3 linked regions of the Stegostoma tigrinum genome follow. The protein of the gene in region 3 purifies or fractionates together with the protein of the main gene of each other region. This does not show direct contact. Links are inferred from orthologs where the notes say so. Each region holds a gene or a part of one and is shown on either strand. Other genes may lie near its edges. The genes, in order: tdrd3, orc2 and fxr1.

Region 1 (10,211 bases), on a different chromosome or scaffold from region 3:
AGGTCACAGGCAAGACATTCTGCAGTGAGTAACTTGTCACACATCATCTCCAGTGCCTGCCCAAATTTACAAAGCGAAAGTCAGAAGTGGGATAGAATACTCTCCAGATAATAAAGTGTGAAGCTGGATGAACACAGCCGGTCAAGCAGCATCTCAGGAGCACAAAAGCTGACGTTTCAGGCCTAGACCCTTCATCAGAGAGGGGGATGGGGTGAGGGTTCTGGAATAAATAGGGAGAGAGGGGGAGGCGGACCGGAGATGGAGAGGAAAGTATAGGTGGGGAGGTAGGGAGGGAATAGGTCAGTCCGGGGAAGACGGGTCCATCTTCCCCGGACTGACCTATCCCCTCCCTGCCTCCCCACCTATACTCTCCTCTCCATCTCCGGTCCGCCTCCCCCTCTCTCCCTATTTATTCCAGAACCCTCACCCCATCCCCCTCTCTGATGAAGGGACTAGGCCCGAAACGTCAGCTTTTGTGCTCCCGAGATGCTGCTTGACCGGCTGTGTTCATTCAGCTTCGCACTTCATTATTTTGGATTCTCCAGCATCTGCAGTTCCCATTATCATAGAATACTCCCTACTTGGCTGGATTCGTACAGCTCCAAAATCATTTAAGCCACCCACTTGACTGGGACCACATCCACCAGTCAGGAGCACCAGCATTACCATCTACAAGATGCACTGTTGTAAACAACAAGCCTTTCCACAAAACCTTTCATTCTTGAATCCTCTGCCATTTAATCAGAAAGGACAAATGCAGCAGATGCATGGGAACACAGAACCTGCAAGATTTCCTTGAAGCCACACACCAGCCAGCTTTGAAATAACATCACCATTCCTTTATTGTTGCTAGGTTAAAATCCTGGAACTCCCAACCCAAAATTATTGCGGGAGGACTGCTGCAGTTCAAGAAGGCAGCTTACCACCAGAACAATAAATGCTGACTTAGACAGCAATGTCCACATCCCATGAACAAATTTAAAATAAAATCTAATGTTGCTCATCAGTGACGATCATATACTACTTGTATGCTGATGACAGTCCCCTCTTGCTCACCATTTCTCTCAACCGTACTTGCTGATTTTCATACTGCTTATCCAACATTAAGTATGGGATGGGCATAAAATTTGACCAACAGAATATTGGGAAGACTGAAACCGTTACTTTTGCTCCCTGTCAATGGTTGAATGTTATCTCCATTATTTGTTTATACTTACTTTCAAAAATTCTGAAGCGTAACTGCAGAGCATCAAGGAAAACAAATGCCTGGTCTTAACCGTTAGAAACGTCACAACTCCAAATCACTGCGCAGATAAACATTAAAAACGAGCATCTTCACAAACACTAGTTAAGGATTGTTTAATCTTTTTGTTGCAGTTCAAGTTATCGACAAATGTGTGCAAAAATAAAAAAAGTTGCTTTTCTCAGACATGCTAGTTATGGGAAGCCACCCCAAAGCACATTGTTTTTGCAGTAGTGCATCATTGACAATCAGGATGCAGCTTTAGAACTGGTGGCAAAAAAAAGCCTAATTTTAAATTTTAAAAGGGCAAAATGTCTCAAAAAGTGCAGGTAGGGAAATTCAGGGCTTTGCAAATAGGCAAAGAAATCACTGGTTTTCTTTAGCTCTTTGAATGGCCTGCTGGTAGGGAAGAAACAACAGTTTCCATGGAATCAAACATCCCAAGGCACTTCACAAAAGCAACATAAAACAAAGTATGACATCAAGTCACGTAAGGAAACATCAGGTCAGATGATCAAATGCTTGGTCAAGGACGTAAGTTAAGAAGAATCCTAAAGGAGAAAATTGAGGTGGAAAGGCAAAGTGATGTGGGAAAACAATTGCAGAGCTTGGAAATTGAAGGCATGACCACCAATTTTGATTGTGAATTCACAAAAGGTCAGAGTTAAAGTATGTGGTCATGGGAAGATTTAAGAATAGGAATTTTAAAGTTGATATGTTACAGGAGCTGCTGCAAAGAGGACTTCAGCCATTACTGGAGAATAGGTAAGAGTGATTTAAAGTTAAGACAAGAAAAGTGAGCTTTGAGTGACGTTACATTTACAGAAGGTAATATATAGACCAACCCTAGCACATTGAAATAGCTGAACAAGAAATCAAGGTGCAAATAACAGCTTCAGGATTTGATCCGTTGAGATGAGTGAAGTAATGCAATAAGACCATAAGGCAGAGGAGCAGAAATTAGACCATGGCTGATAAGTTACTCAACCCATTCTCCTGCTTTCTCCCTGTAACCCTTGATCCCTTTGATCATCAAGAACGTATCTATCTCAGCCTTAAATGTGCACAATGGCCTGGCCTCCACAGCCTTCTGTAACAGTAAATTCCATAGATTCACCACACTGTGGCTGAAAAGGTTTCTCCTTATCTCTGTTCCAAAAAGGTTATACCTTTACATTAAGGCTGTGCCCTCAGATCCTAGACTCTGCTACCAATGGAAACATCTTCCCAACATCCACTTTGTCCAGGCCATTCAGTATTCTGAAAGTTTCAGTTCATTCCCCCTTCATCCTTCTAAACTCCAATGAGGACAGTCCCAGAGTCCTCAAACATTTGTCATATGTTAAGCTTTTCATTCCTGGCCCCATTCTTGTGAACCTCCTCTGAACCCGGTCCAGGGCTAGGACCCTGGAGATTTGGGGCCCAAACCTGCACACAATACTCCAAATGGACAATAGACAATAGGTGCTGGAGTAGGCCATTTGGCCCTTCGAGCCAGCACCACCATTCATTATGATCATGGCTGATCATCCACAATCAGTATCCTGTTCCTGCCTTATCCCCATAACCCTTGATTCCACTGTCTTTAAGAGCTCTGTCCATCTCTTTCTTGAAAGTATCCAGACAGTTGGCCTCCACTGCCTTCTGGGGCAGAGCATTCCATATATCCACCACTCTCTGGGTGAAGAAGTTTTTACCTCAACTCTGTTCTAAATGCTTACCCTTTATTTTTAAACTGTGTCCCCTGGTGCTGGACTCACCCATCAGCGGAAACATGCTTCCTGCCTCCACAGTGTCCAATCCCTTAATAATCTTATATGTCTCATTCAGATCCCCTCTCATCCTTCTAAATTCAAGTGTATACAAGCCCAATCGCTCCAATCTTTCAACACATGATAGCCCCGCCATTCCGGGAATTGACATCGTGAACCTACGCTGCACTCCCTCAATAGCAAGAATGTCCTTCCTCAAATTTGGAGACCAAAACTGCACTCAATACTCCAGGTGCGGTCTCACCAGGGCCCTGTACAGCTAAAGGACCTCTTTGCTCCTATACTCAATTCCTCTTGTTATGAGGGCCAGCATGCTATTAGCTTTCTTCACTGCCTGCTGTACCTGCATGCTTACTTTCATTGACTGATGCACAAGAACACCTAGTGGCCTAACCAGAGCCTTATAAAGCCTCAGTAGTACATCCCTGCTTTAATATTCAAGTCCTCAAAATAAACACCAACATTGCATTTACCTTCCTGATTACTGACTCAACCTGCAAGTTTACCTTGAGAGAATCCTGGACTAGAACTCCCAAGTCCCTATGCACTTCAGACTTCCGGATTTTCTCCCCATTTAGAAAATAGTTCATGCTTTTATTCTTCTTACCAAATGCATGGCCTCACTTTCCCACATTATACTCCATCTGTCACTTCTTTACCCACTCTCCTACCTGCCCAAATGCTTCAGCAGCCTCTCCACCTCGATACTACCTGTCCCTCCATCGATCTTTGTATCGTCTGCCAACTTAGCCAGAATTTCCACAGTTCCTTCATCTAGATCATTAATGTATAAAGTGAAAAGTTGTGGCCCCGGAACTGAAGCTTGCAGAACACCACTTATCATCAGTTGCCGTCCTGAGAAACACCCCCTTATCCCCACTCTCTGCTTCCTGCCAGACAGCCAATCTTCTATCCATATTCCAGAAGCGGAGGTAGTCTCAGTGATGACATAACTGTGGCCAAGTGAGCTTGCCTTAAAATGTTTTACTAAAAAGCAATATACGTCCTAGAAACAGAAAATCAAATCCTTCAACTCATAACCGGATCACCCTGAAGGACACTATCGTCTTTCTGCCAAGTTGACAACTACACAACCCATATTAATCATCGAAATTCCAAAATATTTATTTTAAAACTAAGGGAGCATAAAAGACGATCACAAATCCATACTAACACATTTGGAATGAGGCCTAGTCTACCCAATGGTAGCCAAGTTTAGTACAAGGAGTTCTAACTTCAATGCACTGACAGCGGAGTCCGTAAGCGTGACAGCCTGAGCCACTGGCCGTCCCCCTGCTCCCACTCAGGCCTCCGGCTGCTCGCCCTCAAGCTTCACTCACCAGCCTTCCTGGGCCAGAGCCAGGCCCGTGTCCGCCATCTTCACGCGGGCGCCCTACTAGCGAACACGGCGCGGCCGACGCACGAAAGGAAACCGAGCTGCGAATCACGACGGCAGCTCCCCAGTGAGAGGAAGGTGAACCTCATAGTATAGGCCGGCGGCTCCACGCTCGGGCCTAAGCGCGGTCACTTCCAGCAGCGGCCACAGCCACCGCCGCCCCTCCTCCACGCGATGGCGTCACACACGCAATTCCAACGGCCACGTCTCGGGCGGCGATTGACAGTTCATCTGACCAATCGGTGAGAAAGCTCTGTCACCAGCCGCCATTCAGAAACTAGCGATGAGTGACCACGGCAGAGAGGCGGAGTTTGATTGTTGCAACAAATCAGCGGCAGAGGTAATATGGGAAACGTAAGCGATCCCGGTGTGTTCTTTTACCTCCAGACAGTATCGGCACATGCTTTTCCAAAAGTAAAATGCTAAGAATGAATTATTAAAATCGCAACAATATACTTTACTCTTTAAAGTACATCTGTGTATATTCAGAGGTACAAAAGCAGGTCTCTGAAGGGTCCCGAGCCCAAACGTTGACTCTCCTGCTTCTCTGATGCTGCCTGACCTGTTGTGTTCCTCCAGCTCCGCACAAATCTTTGCAGAGAGAAAAGAACACTGGAATTTGGCATTCCTCACAGCTTCACGGCAGTTGCAAAAAAAAACCTTTTCTACTTATGCACGAGCTATTTACATTCAATTCAAAGCAAGGAGGGGTCTGAGAACTTAACGAACCCTTGATATACTTTTGTGAGACGTCGCACAACACCAGGTTATAGTCCAACAGGTTGATTTGATATCACAAGTTTTCGGAGCGTCTCTCCTTCAGGTGTAAGTGAGGTAGATAGTGTCAGACACAGAATTTGTAAGTAAAAGATCAAAGGGCCAGACCACTGATCAGGATGTATTCAACAAACCTGTGATGCTGTTAAATCTTTAATTAGTTAGAAGATTTTAATTGAGTAATATGTATATGTAAATCCCAAAATTCCTTTCAAGTCACTGTCCTGAGAGAGCTAAGGGTTTTATCAGTGTAAAGAAGAGGTGACATTTTAGGTCAGACAATGCATGTTAGGTGTGAGGCTTTGTTTAAAATCTGTTTGTGTTTTGGTTTGGAGTCAGACTGGTTTTGCTTCAAAAGTAAGAATTTGTAAAATGCTATATTGACTGACTATAAATTGTATGCTTTTTGAAGTAAATAGAATGTATCTCAAAATAGAAATTCACCCCATAGATTCACGTTTGTGTGTGTGTGTGTGTGTGTGTGCGCGCGTGCATGCATTTGTGTGAGTGTATGTGTGTGTGTTGGGGGAAGAGAGAGACAGAGAAAGAGTGTATGCATGTGAGAGTGATAATGGGAACTGCAGATGCTGTAGAATCCAAGATAATAAAGTGTGGAGCTGGATGAACACAGCAGGCCAAGCAGCATCTCAGGAGCACAAAAGCTGATGTTTCGGGCCTAGACCCTTCATCAGAGAGGGGGATGGGGAGACGGTTCTGGAATAAATAGGGAGAGAGGGGGAGGCGGACCAAAGATGGATAGAGGAGAGTATAGGTGGGGAGGGGATAGGTCAGTCCAGGGAGGATGGACAGGTCAAGGAGGCAGGAAGAGATTCTCCAAACCAAAACACAGATTCTAAACAAAGCCTCACACCTGATATGCATTGTCTGACCCAAAATGTCACTTCTTTACACTGATAAAACCTTTAGTTCTCTCAAGACAGTAATTTTAAAGGAATTTTGGGATTTACATATACATATTAATCAATTAAAGCCTTCTAACTGATTAAAGATTTAACAGCACCTCAGGTTTGTTTAATACATCCTGATCAGTGCGGTGACCCTTTGATCTTTTACTTACAAATTCTGTGTCTGATACTAAGATCAGGCAACATCAGAGCAGGAAAGCTGACATTTCAGGTCTGTACCCTTCTTCAGAAAAGAAGAGTCCAGACCTGAAATGTCACCTTCCCTGCTACTCTGATGCTGCCTGGCCCACTGTGTTCATCCAGCTCCACACCTTGTTATCTCAGACTCCAGCATCAGCAGTTCCTACTATCTCTGTGTCTGGTAGTACCTATCTCACTCACACCTGAAGAAGGAGAGACACTCTGAAAGCTTGTTTTCAAATAAACCAGTTGGACTATAGCCTGGTGTTGTGTGATTTCTGAACGTGTTCACCCGAGTTCATCACTGGCATCTCCACATCATTATACTTCGGCAGAAGGACCTCAGATGCTAAGGACCTTAAATGCGGCATGGTGGCTCAGTGGTTAGCACTGCAGCCTCACAGCACCAGGGACCCAGGTTCGATTCCAGCCTCAGGTGACTGTCTGTGTGGAGTTTGCACATTCTCCTCGCGTCTGTGTGGGTTTCCTCTGGGTGCTCTGATTTCCTCCCACAGTCCAAAGATGTGCAGTCTAGGTGGATCGGCCATCCTAAATTTCCCGTGGTGTTCAGGGGTGTGTGGGTTGTGGGGTGATGGGGATGGGTGTGGGTTGGATGCTTCAAAAGGGGACAGTGTGGACTTGTTGGGCCAGGGGGCCTGTTTCCAATCTAAGAATCATGGAATTGTTTGGTTCATTCCAAATATAGTATCCAAAGAAATAAACCTTATCCAACACCATTCATGACCTCATCACCTCAGGGGACCTCCCACCCACAGCCTCCAACCTCATTGTTCCCCAACCCCGCACGGCCCGTTTCTATCTCCTTCCCAAAATCCACAAACCTGCCTGCCCTGGCCGACCCATCGTCTCAGCCTGCTCCTGCCCCACCGAACTCATCTCCACCTATCTGGACTCCATTTTCTCCCCTTTGGTCCAGGAACTCCCCACCTATGTCCGTGACACCACCCACGCCCTCCACCTCCTCCAGGACTTCCAATTCCCTGGCCCCCAACACCTCATATTCACCATGGACGTCCAGTCCCTGTACACCTGCATTCCGCATGGAGATGGCCTCAAGGCCCTCTGCTTCTTCCTGTCCCGCAGGCCCGACCAGGCCCCCTCCACCGACACTCTCATTCGCCTAGCTGAACTCGTCCTCACACTCAACAACTTCTCTTTTGACTCCTCCCACTTCCTACAGACTAAGGGGGTGGCCATGGGCACCCACATGGGCCCCAGCTATGCCTGCCTCTTTGTAGGTTACGTGGAACAGTCCCTCTTCCGCACCTACACAGGCCCCAAACCCCACCTCTTCCTCCGGTACATTGATGACTGTATCGGCGCCGCCTCTTGCTCCCCAGAGGAGATCGAACAGTTCATCCACTTCACCAACACCTTCCACCCCAACCTTCAGTTCACCTGGGCCATCTCCAGCACATCCCTCACCTTCCTGGACCTCTCAGTCTCCATCTCAGGCAACCAGCTTGTAACTGATGTCCATTTCAAGCCCACCGACTCCCACAGCTACCTAGAATACACCTCCTCCCACCCACCCTCCTGCAAAAATTCCATCCCCTATTCCCAATTCCTCCGCCTCCGCCGCATCTGCTCCCACGATAAGACATTCCACTCCCGCACATCCCAGATGTCCAAGTTCTTTAAGGACCGCAACTTTCCCCCCACGGTGATCGAGAACGCCCTTGACCGCGTCTCCCGCATTTCCCGCAACACATCCCTCACACCCCGCCCCCGCCACAACCGCCCCAAGAGGATCCCCCTCGTTCTCACACACCACCCTACCAACCTCCGGATACAACGTATTATCCTCCGACACTTCCGCCATTTACAATCCGACCCCACCACCCAAGACATTTTTCCATCCCCTCCCCTGTCTGCTTTCCGGAGAGACCACTCTCTCCGTGACTCCCTTGTTCGCTCCACACTGCCCTCCAACCCCACCACACCCGGCACCTTCCCCTGCAACCGCAGGAAATGCTACACTTGTCCCCACACCTCCTCCCTCACCCCCATCCCAGGCCCCAAGATGACATTCCACATTAAGCAGAGGTTCACCTGCACATCTGCCAATGTGGTATACTGCATCCACTGTACCCGGTGCGGCTTCCTCTACATTGGGGAAACCAAGCGGAGGCTTGGGGACCGCTTTGCAGAACACCTCCGCTCAGTTCGCAACAAACAACTGCACCTCCCAGTCGCAAACCATTTCCACTCCCCCTCCCATTCTCTTGATGACATGTCCATCATGGGCCTCCTGCACTGCCACAATGATGCCACCCGAAGGTTGCAGGAACAGCAACTCATATTCCGCCTGGGAACCCTGCAGCCATATGGTATCAATGTGGACTTCACCAGTTTCAAAATCTCCCCTTCCCCTACTGCATCCCTAAACCAGCCCAGTTCATCCCCTCCCCCCACTGCACCACACAACCAGCCCAGCTCTTCCCCCCCACCCACTGCATCCCAAAACCAGTCCAACCTGTCTCTGCCTCCCTAACCGCTTCTTCCTCTCACCCATCCCTTCCTCCCACCCCAAGCCGCACCCCCAGCTACCTACTAACCTCATCTCACCTCTTTGACCTGTCCGTCTTCCCTGGACTGACCTATCCCCTCCCTACCTCCCCACCTACACCCTCTCCACCTATCTTCTTTACTCTCCATCTTCGGTCCGCCTCCCCCTCTCTCCCTATTTATTCCAGTTCCCTCCCCCCATCCCCCTCTCTGATGAAGGGTCTAGGCCTGAAACGTCAGCTTTTGTGCTCCTGAGATGCTGCTTGGCCTGCTGTGTTCATCCAGCCTCACATTTTATTATCTTGGAATTTCCAGCATCTGCAGTTCCCATCATCTCTAAACCTTATTTCAGTCAGGTTTATCTCTGTAAGATTGTAGTTTCTCCCTCCCCCATTAATGTAGGTTTCTGCTGGAAAGACAGATGTCAACAAATTTGAGAAGTGTAAAATTAATAGGATAATAATATTAGGGGATTTCAATTTCCCCAATAATAAGTAGGACAGACAAAGTGTGAAAGGCTTAGTGGGTGAAATTCTTAAAATGTACCTCAAAGAGCTTTCTTAAGAAGCTCGTAGAATGTTCTACAAGACATGGAGAGATGCTGGACAAATTTTAGCAACCAAAGCAGGGCAATAGCAGATGTGTCAGTTGGGTAGCATCTTGTCGATAGTGACCATAATTCAGTAAGATTTAGGGTAAAAATTATGGTTAAAGATCAGGAATAATGACACAGAATTGGGTAAAAATCAATTTTAACTTGATAAGAAAGAAATAAGAAAGGCTTCGGCCAAAGTGGTCTGGCACCAGCTACTTGCTAGAAAATCCACACTAGACATGTGGAAGTTATTCAAAAGGGTAATAGTGAGAGTGCAGGGCCAACATATTTCCACAAAGGCAAAGCGCAGGACCAAAAAGCCCAGATAACCCTGGGTGTCAACAGACATAAGGACTGAATAAGGAAAATAAAGGAAGCTGATGGCAAATGTTGAGGGCTCAGAATGGCGGATGCCCAGAGAAGTATAGAAAGTGCAGGGTATTACTTAAAAAAGAAATAAGGGAGTTAAGACACAACATGGAGAAATGCTGACAGCCCATATTATGGAAAATCCAAAAGTGTGTTGTAAATATATTTAGGAAAACAGACTAAGCGGGGAACGAGTAATGTCCATAAGGCAACAATGTGGCAGTGTGCGTGGAGCCGGAAGACAGAGCTGAAGCTTTAGCTGAGTGCTTTTCATTTGTATTCATCAAAGAGAAAGATGATGTCGGTATGGAAATCAGGGAGGTGGACCGTGATTTACTTGAACAAATTAACATTGAGAGGGAGGAGGTATCAGAAGTTTTACAGGGCTTCAAACAAGGAATAAGAATAAGCCACTTGGTCCTTT
Region 2 (9,356 bases), on a different chromosome or scaffold from region 3:
TGCTGTATTGTTCAATGAATGAGAGATGATCACTTTGAAACAAATTGGATTCTTAAATAGCTTGACAGGGTAAATGCTGAGAAGATGTTTCCCCTTATGGGAGGATCTAGGATCAGAGGGAACAGTCTCAGAATTAAGGAGTGCAATTTAAGACTGAGATGGGGAGGAATTTTTTTTCACTCAGAGGGTTGAACATCTTTCGTACTTCTTGCCACAGACACCTTTGAGGGACAGAGTCCTGTGTATACTGAAAGCTGAGATGGATAGATTCTTGATCAGTAGGGGAATCACGGGTTATGGAAAAAGGATAGGAAAGTAGATGTGAACAGTGTCAGATCAGCCATGATCTTGTTAAATGGTGGAGCTGGCTGAAGGGGCCAAATGGTCTACTCCTGTTCCTATAACCTACAGTCTTATTGTCCATGCTCTGTTCTTCAAAAACTCCCATGGATGATACATGGGTCAGAGTTGGATGTCTGCTGATTGCAAGGTGCCAGGATTGATCCTGTGAACCCGCCTGGTTTATTACTCTTTAACCTCAGGGCAGAGAGTAAATGGATGATCTGCTTCATCCTTACCTTAGATGGGGTCTTGCACTGGTTTGATTGTCCTGCAAAAACAACAAAACAAATTCCTTCAACATCACACAATCACAAAAGGCTGGGAAGAAGCAGCTCCCATCAGATGTCTGAAACAAGACTATGCTGTGATTGGGTGATGGCCCACAGAGCCTCAGCGTGGCTTCATTCCCATTAAGCAACTTCTTGGCAAATCAGAGACCATCCAATCTCACATTCAGCATAGTTGCTGTGGTGTCTCAGCTGGGAGGGAGCAACTGGGGCTAAAACTGATCTCAGTGCACTGAGTCAGGACAGATATAAAAGAGCCAACACCAGCCCGTGGTTGGGCACTGGATCACAGTCCTGTGATCCTGAAGGCAGATGGGTGCTATGGCATTGGCAGTACCCATTCCAGCAAAGGAATAGTTTATTACAATGCAGACACTTCCCTAGTTACAGGATCAGTACAGGCAGCTTGCTTCCTTTTGTGATGTTTGCTTGGATCTGAGGGCTTACCGTTATCCTTGATCTGATCTGCTGTCAGCTGCTGGTCAGGTAAACAGAACGTTACACTTTTTCTCGGAGTCTGGGCCAGTTCGGAGGCTGAGAGTCAAAACAGGATAAAGTAAACATTTTAAATATCAATGGTCTCATCTGCCATGCAACCTCCAGGGAGAGTAGTCGTTCCTGTCCCCAGCAGCCCCCAACAACGCCCTCAGCCCAGCCATCCTCTCCCAGGACACACGCACGCACAACCCCAGAATTGTGTGCTTGATGAGGCTGTGTAGAGTGAGCTTAGCTCTGTATCAAAGCCCATGCTGATTTGAAAATGTTCTCCGATAACTCTCAACGTCAAAAGATGGGAATGTCCCTTTGACACATAGACAGTTTGAGGTCAACAAAATGACACTGTTGATCTTTTGGCAATAGATTCACAGTTCAGTTAGTCAGCTGCTGCTCTGGTGATTCTCACTTCACAGCTCTCCCTGTACCTATGAACAGCACCCCACACCCACCCAAAATCATGAACCGCAGTCACTGCACCTGCATCGGGTCTCTACAGCTACATAAGTGCATCGCCGCCTCCTGTTTCTGAGGCCCACGTCGCTACCTACGAACCACATTTCTCACTTCGTCTCCAAACGCTGCACAGTTACCCATCCCTAACAAGACGCGGTCCCCAAAACTCACCGAGCTTTGCCATCTTGTCTGCTCTTTTGGCGGTTTGAAAGGTGAAAAGATCTCGGCCAGCTGCAGACACCCCATCATTCAAGTCACCATGGCAACCTGCAACTACAAGGACAGTTCGAGTTGCTAAAGCAATTGCACCATCTTCACAACCGCAGCAGCAGCACAACTGTGCAATTTCAGCTCGAGGCTCCCGACGTTTATATCAAATTGTGGAGCTTCCTTACTCCACAAGTGAATACCTGGGGCCTGACACTCCAGTAATAGGTTCTGGACCTGGTCTTGTTTCACAACCTTGAGTATCAGCATCTTTTTTTTTGATGCAGAAGATATAAATGTGTATAGGAGAATGTAGTATCACCTGAGAGAGATCCAGGGTTAGGCATACCTTGAGTAATCACAGAGACACCATTGGCTACACTCTCTTAGCAAGATAGAGTACGGCCTGCAGTATAGCCAGTACCTGAGTCACCTGCTCCAAGCACCTCCACGTAATCACGCTCATTAAAGACTTCCAAACTCTCCTGAGACTGCTCTGTCTTCTCCCATTTCTGGGAAGCCCGCTTCACGCTTAGCAATGTCCCAGGCACATTGTTCTTCTGATTAATTCCTGTAAAGTAAGTCATCGTGAAACCCATTAAAACAGTAGGATGCCAGAAATCATTTTCCAACAAAATGTTTCAGTCAGTCCTCAGGTGGTTGAAAGGATCAGGGAAGAACAATATGCAGAAGAGTATAAAAACCGAAGGAACTGCAGGTGCTGTAAATCAGGAACAAAAACAGAGGTTGCTGGAAAAGCTCAGCAGGTCTGGCAGCACTGGTGGAGGAGAAAACAGAGTGAATGCTTCGGGTCGGGTAACCCTTCCTCAGAACTCGGGTCACTGGACCCGAAACGTTAACTTTGGTTTCTCCTCCACAGATGCTGCCAGACCTGCTGAGCTTTTCCAGCATCTTTTTTTTTGATGCAGAAGATATAAATGTGTATAGAACATGGTATCACTTGAGAGAGATCCAGGCTTAGGCATACCTTAACAAGGTATTGGAGAGTGGGAAAGGATTTAATACAGAGGGGAGTTGGGGGAGGAATCTTTGCAGGGGTGTGGGTTGACATTTTGGGGTAGGATTTGGAGAAAAGGCAGGGGTGTGGGTTGAGATTCTGGGGTAAGATTTGGAGGGAAAGCAGGGGTGTGGGTTGAGATTCTGCGGTAGGATTTGGGGGGGAAGGCAGGGGGTGTGGGATGAGATTCTGGGGTAGGATTTGGGGGGGAAGGCAGGGGGTGTGGGATGAGATTCTGGGGTAGGATTTGGGGGGGAAGGCAGGGGGTGTGGGATGAGATTCTGGGGTAGGATTTGGGGGGGAAGGCAGGGGGTGTGGGATGAGATTCTGGGGTAGGATTTGGGGGGGAAGGCAGGGGATGTGGGATGAGATTCTGGGGTAGGATTTGGGGGGGAAGGCAGGGGGTGTGGGATGAGATTCTGGGGTAGGATTTGGGGGGGAAGGCAGGGGGTGTGGGATGAGATTCTGGGGTAGGATTTGGGGGGGAAGGCAGGGGGTGTGGGATGAGATTCTGGGGTAGGATTTGGGGGGGAAGGCAGGGGGTGTGGGATGAGATTCTGGGGTAGGATTTGGGGGTGTGGGATGAGATTCTGGGGTAGGATTTGGGGGGGGGAAGGCAGGGGGTGTGGGATGAGATTCTGGGGTAGGATTTGGGGGGGGAAGGCAGGGGGTGTGGGATGAGATTCTGGGGTAGGATTTGGGGGGGAAGGCAGGGGGTGTGGGATGAGATTCTGGGGTAGGATTTGGGGGTGTGGGATGAGATTCTGGGGTAGGATTTGGGGGGGGGGAAGGCAGGGGGTGTGGGATGAGATTCTGGGGTAGGATTTGGGGGGGGAAGGCAGGGGGTGTGGGATGAGATTCTGGGGTAGGATTTGGGGGGGGAAGGCAGGGGGTGTGGGTGAGATTCTGGGGAAGGATTTGGGGGGGAAGGCAGGGGGTGTGGGATGAGATTCTGGGGAAGGATTTGGGGGGGGAAGGCAGGGGGTGTGGGATGAGATTCTGGGGAAGGATTTGGGGGGGGAAGGCAGGGGGTGTGGGATGAGATTCTGGGGTAGGATTTGGGGGGGGAAGGCAGGGGGTGTGGGATGAGATTCTGGGGAAGGACTTAGGGGGAAGGCGGGGGGGAGGGGAAAATGATGGGGGGGGAGGGTACAAATTTTTGGAAAGATCCCCCAGTCTTCCCTCCTTCTCTAACGCCTGCTTCCCCGTATCTCTCCCGGGGCTCACCGGACAGTTTCTCGATGATGTGCTCCGCCACCTCCTCATCGCCAATGAAACGCACATCCCCGACCTTCATCGTTCAACCGCCAAGCCACTAACCGCGGGCCAAAGGTCAACAGCAACCAATCCGCATCCGGTAACGCATCGTCCAATCACAGCCCGGATCCAAACAACCAATCACGGAGGGCCGACCCGGAAAGGGGCGTGGTTTACCGCTGTGGGGGCGTTGTTAAAAGTGGGCGGGGTTGCTGGAAGGGTGGGGCCAGGGAGCGGAGTGAGACCGATCAGAAGAAAATGCTGGCAATATGCAGCAGACCAGGCAGCTTCTGTGAAAACAGTTAATGTTTCCGGCCCACTTGATAAATGTGAAATCATAGAGGGTTTGATAAGGGCTGGTCTGTGCAGTAAAATGATAGGAGGCAGGAAAATGGGTTCTCTAGTCTGGGGAGATTAAATGCATGTTTGGACTACAGTTTTACAGAATGAATTTTGCAGAATGATGGAGAGAATTTGAGGAGTCAGGACCAACTTTCCACAGACACCTGATTTTTTTTATTGCCCTTGTTACTACTATGTTGATATAACTTTCCCAGTGAACTCAGCAATGCAGATTCCCAAGATGGTGATGCCAGTGTCACTGAAAGTCAGGGAGAAGTAGTTTGATACTCTGATAATTAATTGTCACTTCTGTGGAGCAAATGTTACTTAATACTTATCAGCCCGAGCCTGAATATTGTCCAGGTCTTGTTGCAAATGAACATGTGACTGCTTCAGTGTCTGAGAAGTTGCCAATGATGCTGGACATAGTGCAATCATTAGCAAACAAACATTCCCATTTCTGACATGATAATGGATGTGAGGTCATTGCTGAGGCAGATGGAGATGTTTGGGCCTACAAAACTATCCTGAGGAACTATATAGTGATGTCCTGAAGCTGAGATGCTTGACTTCCAACAACTACAGTCATCTTCCTTTGTGCCAGGTATGACTCCAGACAGTGGAGAGCTTTCCTCCTGATTTCTTGTGCTGTTTCAAACCATATAAAGCAAAATGTTTCCTTGATTATCAAAGGCGGATACTGTCATCTCTGGAGGGAGGCACAGTGATTAGCATTGTTGCCCCACAGTGCCAGGGCTTTGATTCATTTCCAGCCTAGGTGACTGTCTGTGTGGAGTTTGCACATTGTCCCTGTGTTTATGTGGGTTTCTGCTGGTTTCCTCCCACGGTCCAAAGATGTGCAGGTTAGGTGGATTAGCTAAGTCAAAAGTTGCCCTGTAATGCCCAGGGATATACAGGTTAGCTGGTTAGCCAAAGGAAATGCAGTTACAGGGATTGGGGGTGTGAGAGGGGAGGGGTTGCTGCGTCTGTGTGGGATGCTGTTAGGATGGTTGGTACAGATTTGATGGGTCAACTGGTGTCTTTCTGCACTGTAGGCATTCCATAAGTCCTTTTGCTCATGTTTGGACTATGCTTATTGTGATGTCAGGAGCTGAGTGGTTCTGACAGACACCAAACTGATCAAATGCTACATGCGGTACTGTTGTTAACACTTTCAGCACATTGCTGATGATTGAGACCAGTGTGATTGGCCAGATTGTACTCATACATTTTTTTTGTGACCAGGAAGCATTGAAGCATTTTTCCAACAATTCAAAATGTTGCAATCCTCGAACTGAATGCCTCACACAGGACAAATGCTGATCCAGGTTTTTGCTGGAGGAATGTAATTACTTTCTTCTGTGTTATAAAAAAGTACGTTAACCAACTCTTCAGTCTCACTGCCTGTGGCAGAGTTGTTTTGACATAGTCATACAAGCAACATACTGCTGAGTATGTGACTCTTCCCACATCTTAGTTTGTGGGGGTATATTTGAATTTGGCAGGAAGCAGCAGTTCCATAGTAACTTTGCCCCCTCACGTTGGCATTGAGTAAGCAGAAAATTTCACTCTCTCAGCACACTTAGACCTGTGCTTTTCATCAAGGACGGAGTAATATGTTGGCAGTTGCCAATGAAATTGAAGTCAGGTGTATATATAGGCCAGAACACTGTTCTCACTCCTGCTGTGTCTCAGGTGGCCTGTGACATAGGGAGTGATCGTGCCCTGAGGGACGAGGTGCCCTCACGGAAAGGGAGGGGTAACCCCTGTGTGCCAACATGGATGGTATGCATTGGGCACATAGGACACTAGTGCCATGGCTCACTTGCAACCACTCTGTTTTCACCCATGCAGATAGATCTGAGTGAACTTGATGACTAGTGGAGCTGTGTCAGTAGGACACTCCATTCATAGAAAGCAGAATGGCTAGAGAAGTCTATTCAGTTCATCGTGTCCATACTGGTTCTCTGATCATCTAATGCCAATCCTCTGCATTTTACTTGTAACCCTGTGCATTATTCCTTTTCAGGTAGTGATCTAATTTTAGAACCTGCCTCCACCATATTCTGCAGACAGCACATTCCAGATCCTAACAGCTCGCTGTAAAATGTATTTTTCCCCCCTCATATTGCCATTGTTACTTTTGCCAATTACTTCAGAAATTTGTGCCCCCTCAATTTTTTTTTTGTTCACATATGGGATGTGGGTGTCAATAGCTGAGCCAGCATTTATTGCCCAGCCCAAGCTGCCCTCAAAGGTGCTGGTGAGCTGACTTCTCGAAGCACTGCAATCCATGTGCTGTAATTAGATCCAATATGCTGTTAGACAGAGAATTCCAGGAAGTAGACCCAGCAACATAAAAGGACTTCCGATAAAACTTGAAGTCAGGATGGAGTGAGTAGCTTGAAGGGAACTTACAGGTGCTGATGTCCCCATGTAGCTACTGCCTTTGTCCTTCTAGGTGGTAGTGGTTGCTAGCTTGGGAGGTGCTATCTAAGGATCGCTGGTGAATTTCTGCAGTGCATCTTGGTATATAGTACACACTGCTGCTACTGAACATTGATGGTAGAAGGACTGGATGCTTGTGAATGTGGTACCAAGCAAGCATGCTGCTTTGTCCAACTAGAGTGTGGTTGGAGCTGCATTCATCCAGGCAAGTGGGGAGATCTTTCATCACTCTCCTGACTTGCGTCATGCAGATGGTGGACAGGCTTTAACGTGTCTCGGGATGAGTTACTCTCAGCAAGATGCCCAACATCTGAACTGCTCCCTTTAACTACTGTATATACATGGCTAGTCCAGTTCAGTTTCTGATCAATGGTAACTCCGCGAATGTTGATAGTTCGAGTTTGTGATGGTAATGCAACTGAATGTCAAGGGGCTATGCTTGGATTGTCTCTTATTGGAGATGATCATTGCCTAGAATCTGTATGGAGTAAACATTACTTGCCACATATCAGAACAAGCCTGGGATAATGTACAGGTCTTGTTGCATTTGAAAATGGACTGCTTCAGTATCTGTCATGAATGGTGCTGAATATTGTGCAATTATCAGTGAACATCTCATTTCTGACCTTCTGATGAAGGGGAGAACATTGATAAAGCACCTGAAGATGGCTGGCTATAGGACACTACCCTGAGGAACTCCTGCAAAGGTATCCTGGAGCTGAGATGACTGACTTCGAACAAAGACAATAATCCTTCTTCTAGCTATGGCTCCAACAAGTGGAATTTTCCCCTAGATTCCCATTGACTTGTCTTGCTAGAGGTTCTTGACGTCACACTTGATCAGTTGCAGCCTTGGTGTCATGGGCTGTCACTCAACGTCCCCTCTGAAACTCAGCTCTTTTGTCCATGTTTGAACCAAGACTGTAACAATTTCAGGAGCTAAATGGCCCTGGCAAAACCCAAACCGGGCATCACCCAAAGTGTTATTGCTGAGTAGGTGCTGCTTGGTAGCACTGTAAAATGACACCTTCCATCACTTTACTGATGATCGCAAGAAGATTGATTGGGTGGGATTGGACTTATCCTGCTTGAGTGTACAGGACATCAATCTTAATCCTTTCCCAAGTGGGAATAGTTTTCCATATTTATGGTTGTCTGGATTCATGTTTTTCTTTTAGATGAAACTTTCATCAAATCATTCCTCGGCCTTCCCTTCTTCAAGGAAAACAGGGTCAACCTCTCCCCTCTATTGAACTTAAGTTCATGATCCTTTGGACCATTCGCACAAATCTTTTCTGTACTCTCTCTGATACCATCCCATACCTCCAAATGTGTGGTGTCCAGAACTGGATGCAGTAACCTAGGTGAGGCCAAACCAGTGCTTACACAAGTTTAACAATCTCTTTGCTCCATATGTAGCCAAGGTAATATAGTCTTCATTAACCAAGAGGAGGATTTTTTTTTTTTAAACTCACTGGAATGGTGAATGTTGGAATTCTCTACCACAGAGGGCTGCGAAAGCTCAGTCTTTGAGTACGTTTAAGGTGGAGATTGATAGATTTCTGATTATCAATGGAGTGCAGAGTTATGGGGATTAGGTGGGTGAAAGGCATTGAAATGTTCGATCAGCCATGATCATATTGAATGGTGGGTCGAGCCAAATGGCTGAATGGACTCCTATTCCTATGAAATAAAACAGCCAACAGGTAAATGGAAAACATTAGGTGAGAGACACTAAAGATGATGAGATTGATTTAAAATTATAGAAGATTCCTCTTACTCTAATTACTCATTATCTAATCAACACTGTTCCAACTGAAATAAACACAGACACAACTAAATGTCCAGAAACAGCACAGTATTTATTCCAGGTACTGAGATTACAGATTAATAATTTCTCTGCATTGCAGACTGATCTGAATGTTTATACACCTGTATTTACACATTTAAAATCTTTAATCTGTGACAGGTATTTACAAGATCGAGATCACATTCACATCTCTTACATTAACAGTATAGTTCATTTTTAATTTAAAAAAAACTTTTTGTTCAAAGAACGACAGATTTACATGCATCGACTCAACCACCAATACCTGACTTCCCGCCAGATGGCACTTTCACTTCTCTGAACCGTCAGTTCAGAGACCTGTCTCTGAGCATCTGCCAGGAACACAGGAAACATTCAGGTCTGGTTTTAATCTACAGGCCCTTAGGAGAGTAGGAAGTCTGGTGTGGGTCTGCTGCTTATCACTTCAGCTAAAATGGAGGCCTTAAGGAAGGCAGGCAACTTGTCAGCCCTCCCCCATGAAGTTAGCAGTTACACAGACGCACACTGCAGTCACGTCCACCTCTCTAATCTCACTGGATTCACCCTTGCGCTTCACTCGAACATTCTTTGGGCAAAATAGGTTGATTTCTGTTCACGAGCACCGAGACTGAGGACCAAACACGCGCGCGCACACACACAAAGCAGATTAAATTTCCACAGAGAACAAGACTCCACA
Region 3 (10,383 bases):
TTTGCGACTATTAGGGGGCCTATATTGCAATCCTGACAATACAATTGTTTTAAACTAGCAATGGAGACAGTACAGAAGAGATTACTTTGAGATGAAAGGTGAACTTATCAGGAATAGCTGACCAGGTGAGGTATTTATTCATTACAGTTTAGAAGAACGAGGCATGATTTTAGGATTATAAAGTCTAAGAGCAGAAGGAGGCTGCTGACCTGATAATCCTCTACTCCATTTTCTGTTTGTTCCTTATAACCTTTGATTCTCTAACTATTTAAGTATACTCAAGGTCGAAATTTTTAAAGATCCAGCCTCAATAGCCCTCTGTCGTGAAGAATTCCACAGATTCACCAACCACTGAGAAGAAATTTTCTCATTTGATTTAAAATGTGCAATCGCTTATTCTGAGATTATGCCCTCCGGTCTTAAGACTCTCCCACAAGAGAGGAAAAACAACTCCATCACATCAATGTTGTAGTCATCCAAGAATCTTGTATTTTTCAATAAGTTGATCTCATTTTTCTAAATTCCAATGGAATACAGGCCTAACATACTCAACATTTCCTCAGACCCAGTATCAGCTTAGTGAACCTTCTCTGAACTGCTTCCAATGCCAGTATATTTGTCCATAGAAAAGGGACACAACATTGTTCAGTTTTCTGGCTGTGGTCCGAATAGTGCCTTTGTACAGTAATAGTCTATTCTACTATGCTATTTCCTTTGTTTCAAAGGCCAATATTCCATTTGCTTTCCTGTTAACTGCTGAAGATGGACGCTAGCTTTCTGTTATTCATGGTTGAGAACTCCCAGATCCCTGTTCTGCAGAACATTATCCATCTCCACTGTTCTTCCCATCAGAGAACAGAGCATTACATTTCACCACAAGATATTCCATTTGCTCAATTTTTGCCCACTCATGTAACTTGTTTACATTCATCTGAAGGCTCTGTTATTGTCACCTTCCCACCTATTCTTGTCATCTGCAAACTTTACAATAGTGATTCACTTTTCTCATCCAAGTCACGAAAGTACACTGTAAGCAACTGTGGCCCCAGCACGGTGATCCCTATGGCCTCACACAAGTGATCATCCTAAAAATGTCCCCTTTATCTTAACTGTCTTCCATCAGTTAACCACTCCTCCATCCATGCCAATATATTATGGCAACATCACAGATTTTATCTAATGCGGTAGCCTAATGTTTGGTATCTTAAACACCTTCTGAAAATCCAGATATAATATCACTGCTTCCCCTTTAGCTATGCTGCTTGTTAAATTCCTTAAATTCTTAAAGGAAGTGTCATGCCTGAACTGCCTCTGCTTGACCATATTATGTATTTCTAAATGCTCTGCTAGTAAATCTTTCATAATATTATTGAAAGATACAAGACTCTGAAGACACAGTAGGAACTGCAGAAGCTTTCCTGCTCCTATGATGCTGCTTGGCCTGCTGTGTTCATCAAGCTCTACACCTTGTTATCTCAGATTCTGAAGAGGCTTGCCAGGGTAAATGTTGAGAAGAGATTTCTTTTAGTGGGGGGGGATCTTTAACTAGAGGGCATGGTTATAGATTTCTCATTTTCAACTGAGACACAAAGGAGTTTCTTCTCCCAGACAACTGTGAATATCCAGAATTTTCTGGAGGCTACATCAGTAAAAGTACTTAAAGGTGAGATAGATAGCAACAATCAACCAGTAAGAAACTCCCTGACACCATATGCAATATTATCTCAACCGAAAACAAACAAGTTATCATTCTCCTTCATCCCCAAAATGCTTCAAGATATCTACATGACTTCAGTTGTGGCCACTGTGCATCCCCACTTGTATGGACTGATTTCAGCTGTCCAGACTCCAAGTTCTTGAATTTCCTCCTTACACCTCCACCTCACTTTTCACCTTTAGCATATTCCTTAAAACCGATCTCTGTTTAAGTTGTATTATCTTAATACATGCCTCAGTATCATACTTTGTTTTATAATGCTTGTGTGATATGTCTTGTGCTTTAAAAAGGGAACAGAATAAATATTCAAGTTGTTGTTGTGATGATCTGAGTTCTTTCCGACAATTTCTGGATTTCATAGTCATAACAGAAAAGACTGAGGTTCCAATTAAGATAGAACTTCTCGTCCAAGGGAGGCAAAATCATAAACCAGCCTTATTATGGTTTGAAAATAACAACTACTATCAGACCTAATAAAAAATCCAAAATATACAAGCTTTCATAATCCAAAACATCTGCCGAAAAGTAAAAAAAAAAGACACTTAACCAAGAGCCAGACTGAAAACTTTGATCCTATCCTTTCCGTTCTTAAAAACTTAAAACGATCATGAATGGGATCAGGGTCTAGGCCCGAAGCGACAGCCTTGCTGCTTCCCTCTGATGCTGCTTGGGCCTGCTATGTTATCCAGCTCTACACCTTGTTATCTCATGAATGGGACCGTCATCTTTGCCATCGTCATAACGTGGTTAAAACCTTAAGAACGTATTTATTCAAAGTAGCTTCGAAAATATTCGTCATCTGTCGATAATATTCACGCTTACATCATTTTACACTATTTTAAAGCAAAAATTTAACGTCAAGTTCTCCCGCGCCCAGGTTCATACTTCGCCTGTTTCTACTGCGTTCAAATTCAATAGATTAAGATGCATTGTGTTAAGACAGTTGAGGTTTGAAACGCGTCAAAAGAATTCGAGATCTAATAAAACCTAGAGGAAATAAACCTTTTCAACGCATTTTCACCACTAAGCAAAGAAACATGTTCGATATTTCTTTGTGCAATTATTTTAACTGATCATTTACACACATTAAGCAACCCCTTTTCAAAGTAACACGCATATAGACTTTTCGTCATTTTAACTTTCCTCTGCACTTTTATGGTAAAAATAACATACCTCCGGTCAAGCGGCGTCAACATGCGTCCTTGTTTAAAAATAACTTGAAATTAGACTCCAAGCGGTTTTCTAAACTTGATAAAACATGACTGACAAGTAACAGCCGGTGAGGTATGTACTCCAATGACGTACTTAAAACAGTTGGTAAACGTAAAAGGTTTTTAAAACTATCTTTCTATACACAAAGGGCAACAGAAATAAATGGGAGAACCGTCAAAATAGTTGATTTTTAAACAGCCATTGAAAGATTATAAGAAAATAACAAAATCCTTCAGTTAATCGTCCATTATAAAATAGCACAATTTTAAAAACAGCTGAAACGTGAAGAAATAAATACGAACGGCAAAGAAATGTGAGAATAAGGCCTAGTGACTTTCTTCAGCAAGGCCTGCAGCTTCGACAGCGACTACAACCTGTCTAGCGCCGAGAGAAAGCCGCGCCGCATCATTTTACACACTCAGCTATATGCAGCCCTTATGTCCGTGTTGAACACAGTCGTAACACTTTTTAAAAACACCAAAACAAGATTTCCGGTAGATGATAAGGGGGCTTACCTTGTAAAATGCTCCATTAGAGCCGCGCACTTCGACCGTCAGCTCTTCCATATTGGAAGCGCAGGGGAGACTGGGATGTGTTTCTAGAATTTGTACACACACAGGAACGAGCGATGGGAGTCAGACACCAAAGCTAATGGATGTCAACATCCCGTCTATGAATCAACTCACTTGCTCTCAGATACTCAGTCTCCTCCTGAATGGTTGCCAGAATTGTCCCACTGGTAAAGGTTTTCATCTCCAAGGACTAATAAATCAACAATTGCGAAGTGTGAAACAGCGTGTAAATCAATTCAACACTACACCTGAAACTGTGATCGCGCAGTCAGATGCATCATTGCGCTTTTAAAAGAAAGTAAGTTGTTCTTACTTACAAAGGAGAATGTCGGATATCAGCAGAACCATCAAAGGAACAAGAGTTATTGTCCCTTTTGAAAAGGTGCAATGATTTAAATGCCGGGTTGGAAAGCTGAAGCAGTTGCCAATTTCACATCCGGACTTAGCATTAATGATCCTAGCCAAGATTCAGCATTGCCTGCCTTCTCACTGTCCTAACTTTGGACGATCAACATTCAATACTGAACTTTCTTGCCTCCTACAACTCTCATCCCTACTCAAAGTAACTGTAAATATCCCGATAGCGTTTATTTTTTAACCTGTATCTAGGTTTGCAAGATTAAACTTCCCTTGATCCTTTATGTCAACACATTACTGCAGCTCACTAATTCACATGAACAGTATATGTGTTCTCTGAATTTATTACTACTCAGAGTTGTAATTTGACATTGGGACGATGAGATAGGATCACAGCAACTAGAATAAGCAAGTAAGCCTATTGTGCCATTCAATGAGATTATTGCTGATTTGTGCCCAAACTCTACATACCTGCCTTTGGCCCACATTCGTTAATACCCTTGTCTCAGAAAAAAACTCTCAAATTTAAAATTAGCATCTGGTTTAGTGTCAAACACCATTTCTGGGAGTTCCAAATATCTATCACCTTTACACACTGAAGTGCTGCTTAACATCTCTCCTGAATGGTCTGGCCCTAATTTTTAGACTGTGCCCTTGTTTCTTGAATTCTTTATCTACCCTGTCTTTTCCTATTAATAGCTTGAAGACTTCAACCAAATCATCCATACCCTTCTACATGCTGGAGAAAATATACAATTTATATAGCCTTATGTAATCTCTCCTCAAAACTCAACCCCTGACATTCAGATATAATTCTTATAAATCTCTGTTGTACTCCCTCCAAGGCCAATTTATTCTTCCTCAGGTGTAGTGCCCAGATCTGCTCACTGTACTCCAGGTGGAGTCTCAACAGGGTCACAGTGCGAGGCTTTTGCAAATTGTGAGCCACCATAAGATTTTGCTTTCTTTAGGAATAACAGTTAGTCCAGTTCCTTTTACTTATACCATGAACTATGTAGTTTGTTAGAAATTTGTATTTTTAAAGCATAATTGGAATTTCTGGCTGGAAGGTCATTTCTGAGAACTGAGCCAGCGACTTGAGGTTGCAATTGAAATGATAGCCAAGTAGGAGCTAATTGGTAGCATCGAGTTTTAATTATTTTGCTCCTGAAGGACACAGAACCTCTGGTATTTATGACAAGCATGCAGAACTCTCCAAAAAACCTTTACGTTCAGCAGAAATAAACAGAGCATAAAGGAACTCTTGCTGATTCAATGTGCAAGTTATTTAAAAGGGACAGAAACCTAAAAGCAGTGTGAATAGTTCGAGCACAGGAAACAGCTGGATGGGTTGTTCTGAGGAAGGGTCACTAGACCCGAAACATTAACTCTGACTTTTTTCTTCACACCTTTTCTGATGAAGGGTCCAGGCCCGAAACGTCAGCTTTTATGCTCCTAAGATGCTGTTTGGCCTGCTGTGTTCATCCAGCCCCACACTTTTTTATCTTGGATTCTCCAGCATCTGCAGTTCTTATTATCTCTGCTGCCAGATGCAAACTTCTGTTTTTGTTCCAGGTTTATAGCATCCACAGTTCTTTTGGTTTTCAAAGAGCTGGATGGGTTTGCTGCAAGAAATATGAGCCCTGGCTGCTATTGGGTGGTCAGGTTAAAATTGAGTTGAAACTGTTACAAAATAGCACTGTTTTGACCAAAGGGAGAGAGAAATCGTAGAACTGCATCTTTTTGGTATTAGCACCTTTACAGTAATCAAATGAAAGTGGGCTGCCAATGAATGTGACTCATGGATGAAATCAATGGATAATGAGAGATCTTACAGAGCGCAGAGGTTAAAGGACTTTGATACTGCATATGGTGCTACATTTATGCAGAGTGTGATGCTGAAAAATTTGAGAGCTTTTTTATTGTATCAATTATGTAATTTTCCAAATGTAATTTATTGTTTCTATTGAAATACTAATTATCTGTTCATGCATATTAATTTGTGTTGATTTTGGGTTAGAATGTTACAGTATGGGTTTAAAAATTGAATTCATTATTCACTTTTATCCATTCATTATTCAAACTATCCATTATCTCCTTCTGATGAGGGGCATCATTTGGAGATTCGTTTCTTTTAGTCATTAATCTCTATGGGGATCATAGTACTCCTATAGCAAGCAAATCAATGACAGATATTTGGTGATGATTGTTTTGTAAAGCAGAACTACATTTAAAAATGTGCAGATGGGGCTGTTGTATGTGTTGACACAATAATAATGTAGAACTTTCCACTGTCTTGAATGGTATGGTTAATGTTGGGTACATTGATAAAGAACGAGACTGAAAAAAGTCAGATTCACAACTTCAAGAAAACATTTCCAATTTTATCTTTAGGATTTAAATTGCAAAGTTTGAATCTCACTAATGAGTGGCAACTACCTTATTTTCATGCATTTTCATCTTATTAACAGCCAATCTCACCTTATTTCTATACAGTTCTCCATTGTCCTCTCCTGTCCCAAGAAAGGAGATGGTATCAATTCCCAACATAAAAGACAAACCAGTTACCTGGTAGCCACAGTTTATCACTTGTTTCTCTGGGTCTGCACCCATCTCTGCCATCACTACCATTTCCCTGCAAACTCCACAGACACCATCCTCTTCCATACTTCCTCCACGCAAAAAGCATTGCCAACCACTAGCCTTACCTCACCATTATGGGTTTTTGCTGACCAACTCCACAAAGCACTCACTTTCGATATCAGGGACACATTTGCCGTGCATGCTTCTATCAGACTGCTTTGTGCACAAAGACACATACACATTTCATTCATCTACACACAATATATCTTAGGTCTCTTAGCTTACTTGTTTTAGCATTTATTCACATTTCATGAACTCGGAGGCTGTCAGCCTCTTTGACTTGCATTGCTTTCTGGCACATTGGCTCTTCAGTCCTAAATTACAGGCTAGTAACCTCTGTCACTTACACTGCTTTTAATCAGAAGGAAAGGCATGAAGCATGTCACCATTCTACTGGACAATTAAGGGGATGGGGTAGATATGTTGCTGAATGAAAGCATTCTATGCGTATACCATACATACAGTATGTGCAAATGGCTCATGTGGCAAACACACTACTTGGGCTGCAGGCAAATGCCATGTCTGAAAGTCAAAGGAAGCAGTCCTTAGTGGATGAATGACAGTAGGTAACCCTTGAACTGAGGTGGACCTTAACTGATTGTAATGGCACACAATGATTGATGATGGTCCCCCTTTGTTCCAATAAGGATTGATTTTCAGACTGGGGATTTGCTTGTATCCAGGTAAGCTACTTTCACGTGGTGCAGGTGTGACACTTACACAACATGCTGCCATACAGCAACATGACTAGCAGGACGGACCAAATATAGGTGGTGGCATAGCGCCATCCAGTCAGGTAGGAGTCCTGAACATTGAAGTCTCATGACATCAGGTCAAATATGGGCAAGGAAACCTAATTAGCAAGTATTGTGCAGCCTCAGTTGATGAAACAGTACTCCACCATGTTGAACAGCACTTAGAGGAACTCTCGAGGGCTTAGAATGTCCCACTGGAACCTAGAACGGCCCTCCGCACTGTCCACAACTTGACCCAGCTTCTTATCATCCGCAAACTTGCTAATCCACCCTTTCACTCCTTCATTCAAATCATTTACAAAAATCACAAATAGAAGAGGATCCAGGAAAGATCCGTGTGGTACACCACTTGAAACTGAGCACCATATTGAATATTTTCCGTCCACTACCATCCTTTGTCTTCTAAGGGTCAGCCAATTCTGAATCCAATCTGCCATATTTCCCCCTATCCCATGCCTCCTTACTTTCTGCATGAGCCTACCATGGGGAACCTTATCAAATGTCTTACTTAAATCCATATATACCACACCCACTGCTCTACCTTCAAGTGTTTGGTCACCTCTTCAAAGAATTCAATAAGGTTTGTGAGGTATGATCTACCCCTCACAAATCCATGCTGACGATCACGAATCAAACTATGCCATTCCAAGTGATCATAAATCCTCCCTCTTAAAGCCCTTTCCAATAATTTGCCCACCACTGACATAAGACTAACTGGCCTGCAATTTCCGGGGTTATCCCCATTGACTTTTTTGAACAAGGGAATGACATTTGCCTCTCTCCAATCTTCCGGCAACTATACCCGTGGACAGTGAGGATGAATAGATCATTGCCAAAGGACCTATGATCTCTTCCCTCATTTCCCATAGAATCCTTGGATAAATCCCATCAGGCCCGGGGGATTTATCTATCTTCAACTTCCTCACAATTCCTGGCACATCTTCCTTACTAACATCCACCTCCTCTAGCCTACCAGCCTGTTTCACACCGTCCTCCCCTACAACTAGGTCCCTCTCAGTTGTGAATACCGAAGAAAAGTATTCATTAAGGACCTCTCCTATCTCTTTAGGCTCCATGCACAAATTCCCGGTACAATCCTTGATCGGCCCTACCCTTTCTCTGGTCATTCTCTTATTCCTCACATACGTGTAAAAAGCCTTGGAATTTTCCTCGATCCTATCTGCCAAGGTTTTCTCATACCCCCTTAAAGCTCTTCTAAGCTCTTTCTTCAGCTCCTTCCTGTATAACTTGTCTCCCTCCAGAGCCTTTTTCCGTTCCTTGTTTCCTAAACCTTATATAAGCATCCTTCTTCCTCTTAACCAGTTGTTTGACCTCTCTTGAGAACCAAGGCTCCCTCACTCGACCACATAAGCACATGCAGTATGCATTCCTTAAACAATCTCCACATTTCTATAGTGCTCTTCCTTGACAGCATCTGTTCCCAATTTATGTCACCCAGTTCTTGCCTAATAGGATTGTAATTACCTTTCCCCCAATTATAAACATTACCCTGCTGTATGTATCTAAGCTTTTCCATGACTATTGTAAAAGTAACAGAGTTATGATTGTTATGCCAAAACGCTGTCCTACCAACAGGTCTAACACTTGGCCTGGTTCATTACCAAGCACCAAATCCAAAGTGGTCTCTCCTTGTGTTGGTCTATCTACATGCTGTGTCAGGAATCTTCCTGAATGCACTGGACAAAATTTGCTCCATCTGAACTATTACAACTAAAATGTTTCCAATCAATATTTGGAAAGTTGAAGTCACCCATGACTACAACCCTGTGACTTATGCACCTTTCCAGTATCTGCCTCCCAATCTGCTCCTCTACTTCTCTGCAACTATTAGGAGGTCTGTAAAAAAAAACCCAACAAAGTCACTGCTCCTTTCTAGTTCTGGATTTCAACCCAACCTGACTCTGTAGACATATCATTCTCAAACTGCCTCTCAGTAGCTGCTATACTAACCCTGACTAGCAATGCCACTCCACCACCTCTTCTTCCACTCTCCCTATTTCTCTCAAAGCATCTAAATCCCATTTCTTTTTATCTGGTGTTCTTACCAAATAATTCACCTCGCTCAATTTTTTGTTGATTTGATAAGTCCCACTAAACCTTGCCTTTACAAGTTTACCGACCACTGGGAGTAACATTAACACTTGATCTCTACTAGCAAAATTGTAAATTCTTGATTTCTTGTCTGCTTCCTGTTTCAGCACACGCTGTGCTACTTTTAAATGCTGCTTAGCCAGCTCACCCGTTCTTTTTAATTTCAGTCTAGAAGTTGACATAGTCCAAAGATGTAGTGTCTGAACTCTGACTCATCAATGACTCCTTCATACATTTCGGTAGTCCTCTTACCTCATATCCAAAAATAATTAAGATGGACTGAATTTTGTTGATTCATTAGGTATACCCCTATTGCAAAAAGTATAAATGGAATTCCATTACGCGAGTCTTCTGGATAATCTTGCCTATAAACCCTCAACATGATTTTTAAAATTTGATACAACTGTTCTGATGCTCCCTGTGATTCTGGATGGTATGCAGTAGATTTGAATTATTTTATTCCTAAGCCAACTATAACTTCTTTGAATAATTTTGATGTAAAATTTTTACCCTTGATCTGATTGTATTTCTGTGGCTAGTCCATAGCTATTGAAAAAAAAATTGAGTAACTCTTCTACAACCTTTTTAACCATGACAGTGTTGAATGGAATGGCCTCTAGAAATCTAGCAGACCCATCCATTATGGTCAACAAATACTGATTCCCACTTTTCGTTTTAGGTAGGGGTCGTATGCAATCAATTAAGACTCTTGTAAAAGGCTCCTCAAATGCTGGAATAGGTATTAATGGTGCTGGTTTTCTCATTGCCTGATGTTTTTTTCTATTAGCTGACATCTATGACATTTCTGGCAAAATTCAACCATGTCCGTATGTAGTCCAGGCCAATAAAAATACTCTTGTATTTTGGCTTGTGTTTTCCTGACTCCAAAATGACCCCCTATTGGTAATTCATGTGCTACCCACAACATCTCCTTTCTATAACCCACCAGTCATAAAACTTAATGAACTAGAATGCCCATTTTTCATCTGCCTGAATATGTAATGGTCTCCATTTC

Evidence for each region.
Region 1: the proteins of fxr1 (region 3) and tdrd3 purify together in Homo sapiens (affinity purification with mass spectrometry; 3 studies listed by BioGRID and IntAct, with this or other methods). This does not show direct contact. The link is inferred for Stegostoma tigrinum from reciprocal best matches to the Homo sapiens genes FXR1 and TDRD3.
Region 2: the proteins of fxr1 (region 3) and orc2 purify together in Homo sapiens (affinity purification with mass spectrometry; 4 studies listed by BioGRID and IntAct, with this or other methods). This does not show direct contact. The link is inferred for Stegostoma tigrinum from reciprocal best matches to the Homo sapiens genes FXR1 and ORC2.

What each region holds. Positions count from the first base shown.
Region 1 is NC_081359.1:3,342,588-3,352,798, forward strand, and holds the start of tdrd3 (tudor domain-containing protein 3), read right to left. Parts: upstream 4,597-10,211; 5' UTR 4,394-4,596; coding exon 4,356-4,393; intron 1-4,355. UniProt on the Homo sapiens protein: Scaffolding protein that specifically recognizes and binds dimethylarginine-containing proteins. Plays a role in the regulation of translation of target mRNAs by binding Arg/Gly-rich motifs (GAR) in dimethylarginine-containing proteins.
Region 2 is NC_081360.1:19,755,802-19,765,157, reverse strand, and holds the start of orc2 (origin recognition complex subunit 2), read right to left. Parts: upstream 4,144-9,356; 5' UTR 4,103-4,143; coding exon 4,033-4,102; intron 2,387-4,032; coding exon of another isoform or gene 2,359-2,386; coding exon 2,212-2,358; intron 1,854-2,211; coding exon 1,752-1,853; intron 1,164-1,751; coding exon 1,077-1,163; intron 611-1,076; coding exon 579-610; intron 1-578. UniProt on the Homo sapiens protein: Component of the origin recognition complex (ORC) that binds origins of replication. DNA-binding is ATP-dependent. The specific DNA sequences that define origins of replication have not been identified yet.
Region 3 is NC_081367.1:47,593,113-47,603,495, forward strand, and holds the start of fxr1 (RNA-binding protein FXR1), read right to left. Parts: upstream 3,689-10,383; 5' UTR 3,496-3,688; coding exon 3,445-3,495; intron 1-3,444. UniProt on the Homo sapiens protein: mRNA-binding protein that acts as a regulator of mRNAs translation and/or stability, and which is required for various processes, such as neurogenesis, muscle development and spermatogenesis.